Ovis aries: one gene and its partner. The protein of the gene in region 2 binds, or shares a complex with, the protein of the main gene of each other region. Links are inferred from orthologs where the notes say so. Each region holds a gene or a part of one and is shown on either strand. Other genes may lie near its edges.

Region 1 (5,000 bases), on a different chromosome or scaffold from region 2:
ATAGGCCAGAATAGATGAAGACTTAAGAATCTCTTTTCCTCCCCTCAATTTATCCTAGTTCATTCAGCAATTCATCCCTGGGTTTGAGAAGGCAATTGTTTGATCCTGTCATTTCTATAGCTAAGTAAATAACCCTCAAATAATGAGAAAATGTACATAAATGTGTTTTGTGAATGGTATGGCTCGATACACAAATTTAATAACTTTTTATTATTAACTTGGAAGTATTTTTTATACGCGTTTTCAAAAGTGTCTCTTTCAAGGGCAAGGATTACTTTTTCATATGCTGTCCTATAGTATGGTGAGTTGTGACTGAAGTATGGTAGGGGTTGATGCCAAATTCTCTAATTTGACAATTTATTCGATAATTCTTAACATTTATTTATCTTTTATTAATAGACTTTATTTTTTAAAAGTTTTAGATTTACAGAAAAATTGAGAGTATAGGAAATCCCCATGTGCCTCTCCTCACCCCCAGTTTCCTCTATTACCCTGCATTAGTATGATATGTTTGTTACAATTAATACCTGAATATTGTTACACTGTAATTAACTAAAGTCCATATATATTTAGATTTCCTTAGTTTTTGCCTAATGTCCTTTCTCTGTTCCAGGATCCCATTCAGCTTAACAGTTTAGTTATCATGTTAGTGTGTCCACATTACTCTTGGTTGTCACATCTTCTTGAGCTCCTCTTGAGTGTGACATTAGTTTTGGGGGCTCATCTTCACTTTGGGGGTCATGAACTGGGTTGAAAGTTATGGATTCTCTTCACAGAAAAATAGGCAAGCTGTAGATGGCTAATTTAAGGGAGGTCTACCCACAGCTGATTCAGAAACCCTGCTTTAGAAGAAACAGATGATCCTTAGAATATCCACTTCCCCACATCAGGGCCATGCTCTATCTCCAATTTGCTGTGTGACCTTTCTGCAAACCCATTTCCTACATGAGCCTCAGTTACACCAGCTGTAAAATGGAGCATCTGGTTTACCTGATATCTAAATCCTTTTCTATCACAGTAGAAGGTGGGGTCACCTAGAGCTGTCCATATCTGAACAACAAAGATTGGTAACAGAAGACCATAACAGGTCAGGCAAAGAAAGTGAATAGGCTTATCAACAGGAGTTGTGGAGGTCCAATGGGGGAAAAGACAAAACCTGGGTTCCACTTTATGACTGTGGATTTTGTAAGTCATTTCCTTCCCATGAGCTTCTGTTTCTTCATCTGCAAAAAATATGAAAGCCCTGCTTCTGGTAGTTAAGAAACTCCTCGGAACAACAGCGGAGACTGTACCAAGAAGGGTATCATGCAAGGAATTAGAAGAAAAAAAAGGAGAAAGTGGGTGAAAGGCGGATGTGAGGAATGAGAAGCAAGGTTGAGGGCTCAGGAAAGAGGAACCATCTGCACACCTAAGGCCTTCCGACTTCACCTGCACTTGTCTGGGTCAATTCTCTTTCCTTTCCGGCTCCGCCTCCGCCCCAATTCCCACCCCTCCTCTCCCCTCCCCTCAGGCTGGGCCTGGCCACACTTCGCATGGCCGCCAAGCTCAGCCGCTTTCCACCACGCGAGGGTAGCGCGCGCGCTCTGGCGCCGCCAACTCACTCCCATCTCTGCCTGCCCTTGACCTCTTTCGATTGGTTCATCCAGTAACTGACGTAAGTGCTCCCTATTCCACCTCCAACAGTTCCTCCAGCCTCCGCCCCACCACCTCCCTGCATCTTCCCAAGCCGGTGGAAACCTAACCACCCCTGATCTCCGCTGAGCGGGCGGAACCGGGAAAGCAGGCAGAACCAGGAAGGCGCAGTCTGTGGCGCGCACGCGCACGCACGCACGCACGCCGGGGCTGGCTGGGCGGCAGGCTCGCGCCCGGGCTCGCCCCGCGCCGCGCCACAGGCTCGCGCACTCAGCAGGTTGGGCTGCGGCGGCGGCAGCTGTGGAGCTGAAGCGCTGCGTGTGAGAGGTCCCAAACGCTTCTGCGGCTTCCACTCCGCCACCCTCACCTCAGTTTCGGTGCCGGGTGCTCAGAGGGGAAAGGCGCTAGCCTTGGGATCCCCCCCACCCCTAGCACACCCCTGGCTGCTTCCGACACCGCCTTCATTCCCTTTCTAGCTGCGGGCCTCGCCAGGTGCTAGGCGACTCCGAGGGGAGGCGACGGCGACGGCTGCCTGTCTGTGTAGAGGAGCCCTGCTCTCCAGCCTTGCTCCACCGCCGGGCCCTGCAGGGGCCGAGAGAGCTCGGCGCCGGCCCTTACTCTAGCCTCTTCGTCAACCGGTTGGAGCGGCGTCGGTCCGGGAGGTCTCTGGGCTGAGGCGGCGGCAGCTTCTCCGGCTCCATCATGTCCGCGGGCGGAGACTTCGGGAATCCGCTGAGGAAATTCAAGCTGGTGTTCCTGGGAGAGCAGAGCGGTGAGTGCGCGGCTCCCCCACTCCTGGCAGCTGGCCGTGGCTTCCCCGCACCGCCCCCCAATGCGGCCCTTCAGTCCGTGGAGGCTCCCTGCGGGCCTCGCGTTAGCGCTCGGTTCTACCCCCCGCAGCCCCTGCCCGTATTCGGTTCGCCGACCCCTCTTCGCCACCCGTTCCTCTTCCCGTGATCCGTCGCTCGGATTTTGACCCTTCAGTCCACGGGCTCCGTTCCCCGCAGCCCGGCCCTCTCCAGTCGATCTGCCCTCCCCACTCCTCACCCCGCCCAGCCCCAGCCTGCTGTCCATCCCTTTCTTCCTCCGGTCTCCGTCGTCTCGCCAACCCCAGCTCCCTCCCTTGAGCCCCACCCTTGTTCCTTGCTCTTATCTCAGTTGGTCTGCTCTGTGAGGCCCACCCGGGAAGCCCCACGCTGGGTAACCGGCCCTCTTCAACCTTGTGCTAGGAGGGTGGGATCTGGGCGTTGTTTTCCCCAGAGGTTTAGCCGCGAGAGGTGCGGGTCTTACCGAAGGTGGGAAGTAGGTGGGGGGGGAGGTCCTAGGAAATTATTGGATTGTTTTCACCTGGGTGGGGGAATTGGCCGGGGTTTTGGAGGATATGTATCTGAATTGGAGGGGACTTGAGGATGGAGTGGTTGGTGAGTGAGGGAGTGGCGGCGGCAGTGGCGATTTTTGCCCCTTGGGTTAGGCTGTGGCTCGTTGGAAAACCTCGTTTTTTTCTCTTGACTTTCATCCCTGACGATCCTTTCGGCAGTGTTCATGCCTTTCCAATCTCTGCCAGATGCTATGTCATGATCGTTTTACTTGGAATTTTTCACATCACACCTCTCCTTTTTCTGCTTCAACGCGAAGCAGCATCTGATTCTCCTCACGGTGGTGCAGACAGGAATTACTGGGGAGGTGTTAATTATTCCATTTCATTAGTATTTTCCAAATATATATCAATATTTAGGATTACTTTGAGAGACAGGTTTAGAATAATGAACATCTTTGTTTTGTAGGATTTCATTTGGGCTTTGGGAGTAGAGAAGAGAGTAGAGAAGAAATCGATTCATCCACTTGTTATCTAAATTAGATTTGAATATGTAATATCATTTTGACTAAATGATTCTTGTATAGTTAATATTAGTTCGTATCTGATGAGTGAAATTGTTGTGTCATTTACCTGGTCAAACTTGTGCTGTCATTGTACTACAAAGTAATACAAATTAGGTATAAGGTTCTAATTTTGTGATGACCGTTTCTAAAATTACTTCTTATGGTAATTCTAATTTTATGCTATATTATGTAAACTTCATACTCTGTAGTTTAGCGATTATCATGCTCTGTTGTTTCTCTCACATTTTTCTTGTCTTTAAAATTGAGTCATTGAGAGATTAATTAGTTTCTCCCGAGTCATCAGACAGTTGAGTTATCTGCTAGATATTTTAGGTTAGGCTATAGAAAACATTTATTTCTTTTGATGGAAAAGAAAATAACTGATAGATAGCAAATAAATTCGGAGCTCTTATTACTACTTTGAACTATTTATACTAATTGGAATGGCATTAAAATAGGTTAATAATAGTTGCAAAATTGCTTCCAGTTGGTCTTGAGGAATTGTTTTTTTCCTTTCATAAATAATCTTTTCTCCCTGACCTCTTATCAAGTCTCCTCGTTGCGTATTTTTCCTTTATGTATTTCCAAGTAAATATAAACTTGTTCCTTTAAATAACTTACTGAAACCTCTGAGATTGATCCCTGTCTATGTATTTTATGACATTTTCAAGACAGTGCCATACATAAAATACACCTATTGGTCATTATTGATAAATAGGACACACATACACATACACACACAAAGTGCTTATGGTGCACTCTAGGGATTTGATTGCCTGCCTTACATTGTGATGCAGAGCTATTCAGTTTGCATGAAAAATACATTAATCTCTGTCTTAGGAAGATTTTAGTATGAATAGAGACCATAATTTAAGAATCTGCAAGTTTCCTTTGAATTTCTTGAGTATTTATATTCTAATTCACATTGCAGAGTTTTATGGCTTCTCATTTAATTTCTTAAATCTTAACTAACTCCCCTTCCTTCCACCGTCTTAAATTTTTTGTAACTAGACTTGATTTTTTAGAGCAGTTTTAGATTTACAGAAAAATTAAGATCTTGCAGAGTTCCCATCTAGCCCCACCCGGATTCCTCTATTGTTAACATCTTGGTCGCATTTGTTATTGTTAATGAACCAATATTGGTACATTATTAAGTAAAATATATAGCTTATTCAGGTCTTCTCAATTTTTATCTCTTTGTCTTTAAACATTCAATTCAGGATGCCACATTACATTTGGTTGTCCTGTCTCCTTAGGCTCATCTTAGATTTTTTTTTTTAGCATTGTGTTTACATGCTTTTTAACTCTGTAGAACTGTGAGATTTATTATCTTTTGAGACCACTGTATTGCTCAGTAATACCGTCCATTGGCATTGGAAAGATTGATCTCTGTTTTCACAGGCAGTGTCTGTAGTTTTCTTATGCATTAGCAAAAGTCTAGAGTCCATGTCATCTTGATTTAACTCATGAATTTTTTATTTTTAGGT
Region 2 (4,330 bases):
ACCCACAGTCTTCTGTGATGGATGGTTGGAATGGTTGGGGTGACTGGTAGAGGGCTGACCAGGTAAGCCACTTCTCTGCATCATTAGCGTTAGAAGCCCCGAGGTGGAGATCACCAAGGAAGTGAGTGTAGAAGAAAGACAAGGACCAGAAACAGTTCTCTGTCGAGTAAAAGTCAGAAAGATAGAAATGGCAAAAGAGTGAAAAGAAATAACTGGAGGGTTAGAAATACCCAGAGCCTAAGATGTCTTGGAAGCTAAGACCAGTGAAGTGAATTTGGAGGAAGTGTTGAGGAGGGAAGAAAGGCCACTTTAGTACTCAGGCCCAGCCTGAGCTAAGCAGCATCAAGGTCATTGGTAACTTGATAACAGTTGCCATGGTATGCAAGAGAATGACTGGAACGGATTCAGGAAGAAAATAGGGGAGAGAAATGTGAGAACAGACACAGACCATGCTCAGAAGGAAGAGATGGGACAGAGTCCAGAGGGGTGGTGTGGATTTGTGTGTGTGTGTGTGAGAGAATGAATGAAGTCTCACCTGTCTTCTCATGACCCTCCCCTCCCCTCTTTGGCTGCTTCCACCCTTTGTTCCTGACCTTAAGCTCTTGGTGGCATTTCTCTTGTCGCATGTCTGTCAACTGTTGGGGTGAATCCATTAGAGAGTGGGTTTTGCTGCACAAGAGAGGGGAGAATTATGCACTGATGGCCTGAGTAGGTGAGGGGGTATGGGGTGAGACACAGAAGTGGAAGAGTTAGCCTGTGTTACACACACAGACAGTGCCCCTGTAACAGCCGAGGAAGGCAGTGTGAACAAAGGCACAACTCAATGAATCAGCAAGTGTAGAAGTTCAGATCATTACTGAAGTTCATCAGAGACATGAGAAGTAAGATCTGGAACATGGAGTTTACGTCGGGGAAACAGCCAGAGAGATTAAGGGAGAGTCACACTGGACATACTGAAGTCCAGCTGGAAAAAATCAGACCCACCCACCAGAGGCACCTGTGGATCATGAACAGTGAAGAGCGTCTGACATCTCTGCTTCATCCTGATTGGCTGTCACCACCAAGGAGCCCAGCATACCTGCATTTCCAGGAGGTCCTCTGCTGTTCAGGGGTCCGAATGGCCTCTCCATGTATGGACACTGAGGAGATGGGCTGTTCTGGAAGACTGAAGAAAATGAGAATTCTGTTCATTGTTTGCCTTGCCTAGAAAATCCATAATTAAGCTTTTACTTAAAAATAGATACTTTGCTAGTTATTTTAATTTCAAATTGTGTATTTTGTACTAGATTAAAGTTTCATTTCTAGGACTATGTGAGTAATTCTTATATTTTCCCCTAGTTTTCATTTGAGTTTATGTATAATTGTTTCATTTTATGTTTTTAGGATACTTGGAAAAAGAAGCCAAAGAGAAAGAGGAGAAAATAAGTAAGTTAAAACTAGTTGCTGTGAAAGCAAAGAAAGAACTAGATTCTAGCAGGAAAGAAGTAAGTTGACTTAAAAATCCAAGATTTGTGAACCTTACCTTTTAGAAAATCATGTTTTTCTGTGCATTAAAAAACTATCATATATTTAAAATAGGCCCAGACGCTCCAGGAAGAACTTGAATTTGTTCGCTCAGAAAGGGATCAGTTGTCTACTTCCATGAGAGATCTCATTCAAGGAGCTGAAAACTATAAGGTAAAAATAGTTACATTAATAACAAGTTACATTTGTGACTTGTAAGTTAAGAAATGTACTTGAAATATAAAACTTTTTTTTTGTTTATTTATTTTAATTGGAGGCTAATTACTGGTTTTAGCCATACATTAACATGAATCAGCCATGGGTGTACACCTGAACTCCCATCCTGAACCCCCTCCCGCATCCCCGGTCATCCCATCCCTCAGGGTCGTCCCAGTGCACAAGCCCTGAGCACCCTGTCTCATGCATTGAACCTGGACTGGTGATCTGTTTCACATATGATAATATACATGTTTCAATGCTATTCTCTCAAATCATCCCACCCTTGCCTTCTCCCACAGAGTCAAAAAGCCTGTTCTTTATATCTGTGTGTCTCTTTCACTGTCTCACATACAGGGTCATCATTACCATGTTTCTAAGTTCCATATATATGCGTTAGTATACTGTATTGGTATTTTTCTTTCTGACTTAACTTCACTCTGTATAATAGGCTCCAGTTTCATCCACCTTATTAGAACTGACTCAAATACATTATTTTTAATGTCTGAGTAACATTCCATTGTGTATATATACCACAGCTTTCTTATCCATTTGTCTGCTGATGGACATCTAGGTTGCTTCCATGTCCTGGCTATTGTAAACAGTGCTGCGATGAACACTGGGGTACACGTGTCTCTTTCAATTCTGGTTTCCTCAGTGTGTATGCCCAGCAGTGGGATAGCTGGGTCATAAGGCAGTTCTATTTCCAGTTTTTAAGGAATCTCCACACTGTTCTCCACAGTGGCTGTACTAGTTTGCATTCCCACCAACAGTGTAAGAGGGTTCCCTTTTCTCCATACCCTCTCCAGCATTTGTTGTTTGTAGACTTTTTGATAGCAGCCGTCCTGACTGGCGTGAGATGGTACCTCATTGTGGTTTTGATTTGCATTTCTCTGATAATGAAAACTCTTGTCCATAACGTAGTCACCTTGTATGTTTTAGCAAAGGTTTGCACTATTTATGTGTGTGTGTAATGTGTCATCCTAGTGTCAAGGTTTTAAGTGGCTAGGGTTTCCAGTTCCAGTTCAGTTGCTCAGTCGTGTCTGACTCTTTGCGACCGCATGAATCACAGCACTCCAGGCCTCCCTGTCCATCACCAACTCCCGGAGTTCACTCAGACTCACGTCCATCGAGTCAGTGATGCCATCCAGCCATCTCATCCTCTGTCGTCCCCTTCTCCTCCTGCCCCCAATTCCTCCCAGCATCATAGTCCTTTCCAATGAGTCAGCTCTTCGCATGAGGTGGCCAAAGTACTGGAGTTTCAGCTTTAGCATCATTCCTTCCAAAGAAATCCCAGGGCTGATCTCCTTCAGAATGGATTGGTTGGATCTCCTTGCAGTCCAAGGGACTCTCAAGAGTCTTCTCCAACACCACAGTTCAAAAGCATCAGTTCTTCGGCGCTCAGCCTTCTTCACAGTCCAACTCTCACATCCATACCTGACCACAGGAAAAACCATAGCCTTGACTAGACGGACCTTTGTTGGCAAAGTAATGTCTCTGCTTTTGAATATGCTATCTAGGTTGGTCATAACTTTTCTTCCAAGGAGTAAGCGTCTTTTAATTTTATGGCTGCAGTCACCATCTGCAGTGATTTTGGAGCCCCAAAAAATAAAGTCTGACACTGCTTCCACTGTTTCCCCAGCTAGGGTTTAAATATGCCTTTAAGGTATTGTTTTTTAAGACTACCATTTCTGTTTGGAATTTCCTAATAAAATCAGTAATAAGCAAAGATGGCTATTATTACAGTCCTCCGGCCAAGGAAATGTGAAAGTTAGACATGTGTGTTCTTGCCTGGAGAATCCCTGGGACAGGGGAGCCTGGTGGCCTGCCGTCTGTGGGGTTGCACAGAGTTGGACATGACTGAAGTGACTTAGCAGCAGCAGCAGCAGACATGTCTAACACAAATGTGAAAACACTATTTGGAGGTATTACTGCTCATCAGCCTAAATAACATGAGACACTATTATAGGAAGATGAAAAAATAAAACAAGAATTTGCCGTTTTGTTTCTTTATGCATTCAAGTATTTCTACAGCCAGGCTGAGCCTGAGTACTAGGAAGACGGTGGTCAACCAGGTAGGTGGAGTTTCTGCCAACCTGGCCTTAGTCCCAAAGGCAGTAAGAGCAGATAGACAAATAGTGTGTAGGAAAGTTAAGGTGGGTGGGGTGACTTCTGTGTAACAACAAGCACTGTAAGCCAGGCAGTCTTCTCAGTGCTTGACATGTCCTGTCACACGTGGTGTGTGTGTGATAAGCATGTTATTAACGTTGCTGGTTTACCAGCAAGGAGTCAGGTCACAGAGCAAGAAGCCAGTGGAGCAGGGGTTAGGTTCAAGCATTTGGTTCCAGATCACTTCTTCCAGCAAGTAAATGAGCTGTGCTGTGCCAATGAGACCTGAAAACAGAGAAACCAGGAGAGGAGGAATCAGAAAACTACTTCAGGAAAATCTAGTTCCCCTCTCCAAAATGAATTCTGAGGTTTCGTCAAAAATGAGTGATTTTTAAAAATTAGAATAAAATCCTTAAAATACTTGATCATGTGATCTCTAGATGCAAAATACTTTTCTAAACTTAAGAAGTTACAAGGGGAAAGAGACTGAACTAGATAAAAC

The links. Proteins that work in one complex are often made in the same cells at the same time.
Region 1: the proteins of GCC2 (region 2) and RAB6A are in contact, whole or in part, in a crystal structure (PDB 3BBP), measured with the Homo sapiens proteins. The link is inferred for Ovis aries from reciprocal best matches to the Homo sapiens genes GCC2 and RAB6A. Residues at the interface, in NP_852118.2 of Homo sapiens: Thr1585, Ile1588, Leu1589, Glu1591, Gln1592, Leu1595, Leu1596, Glu1599, Arg1602; in NP_942599.1 of Homo sapiens: Lys15, Ile46, Gly47, Ile48, Trp67, Arg74, Phe75, Ser77, Leu78, Ser81, Tyr82, Asp85.

What each region holds. Positions count from the first base shown.
Region 1 is NC_056068.1:51,958,211-51,963,210, reverse strand, and holds the start of RAB6A (ras-related protein Rab-6A), read left to right. Parts: upstream 1-1,898; 5' UTR 1,899-1,959; exon of another isoform or gene 1,960-2,108; 5' UTR 2,109-2,334; coding exon 2,335-2,404; intron 2,405-5,000. UniProt on the Homo sapiens protein: The small GTPases Rab are key regulators of intracellular membrane trafficking, from the formation of transport vesicles to their fusion with membranes.
Region 2 is NC_056056.1:61,917,635-61,921,964, forward strand, and holds part of GCC2 (GRIP and coiled-coil domain-containing protein 2), read left to right. Parts: intron 1-1,383; coding exon 1,384-1,484; intron 1,485-1,578; coding exon 1,579-1,677; intron 1,678-4,330. UniProt on the Homo sapiens protein: Golgin which probably tethers transport vesicles to the trans-Golgi network (TGN) and regulates vesicular transport between the endosomes and the Golgi.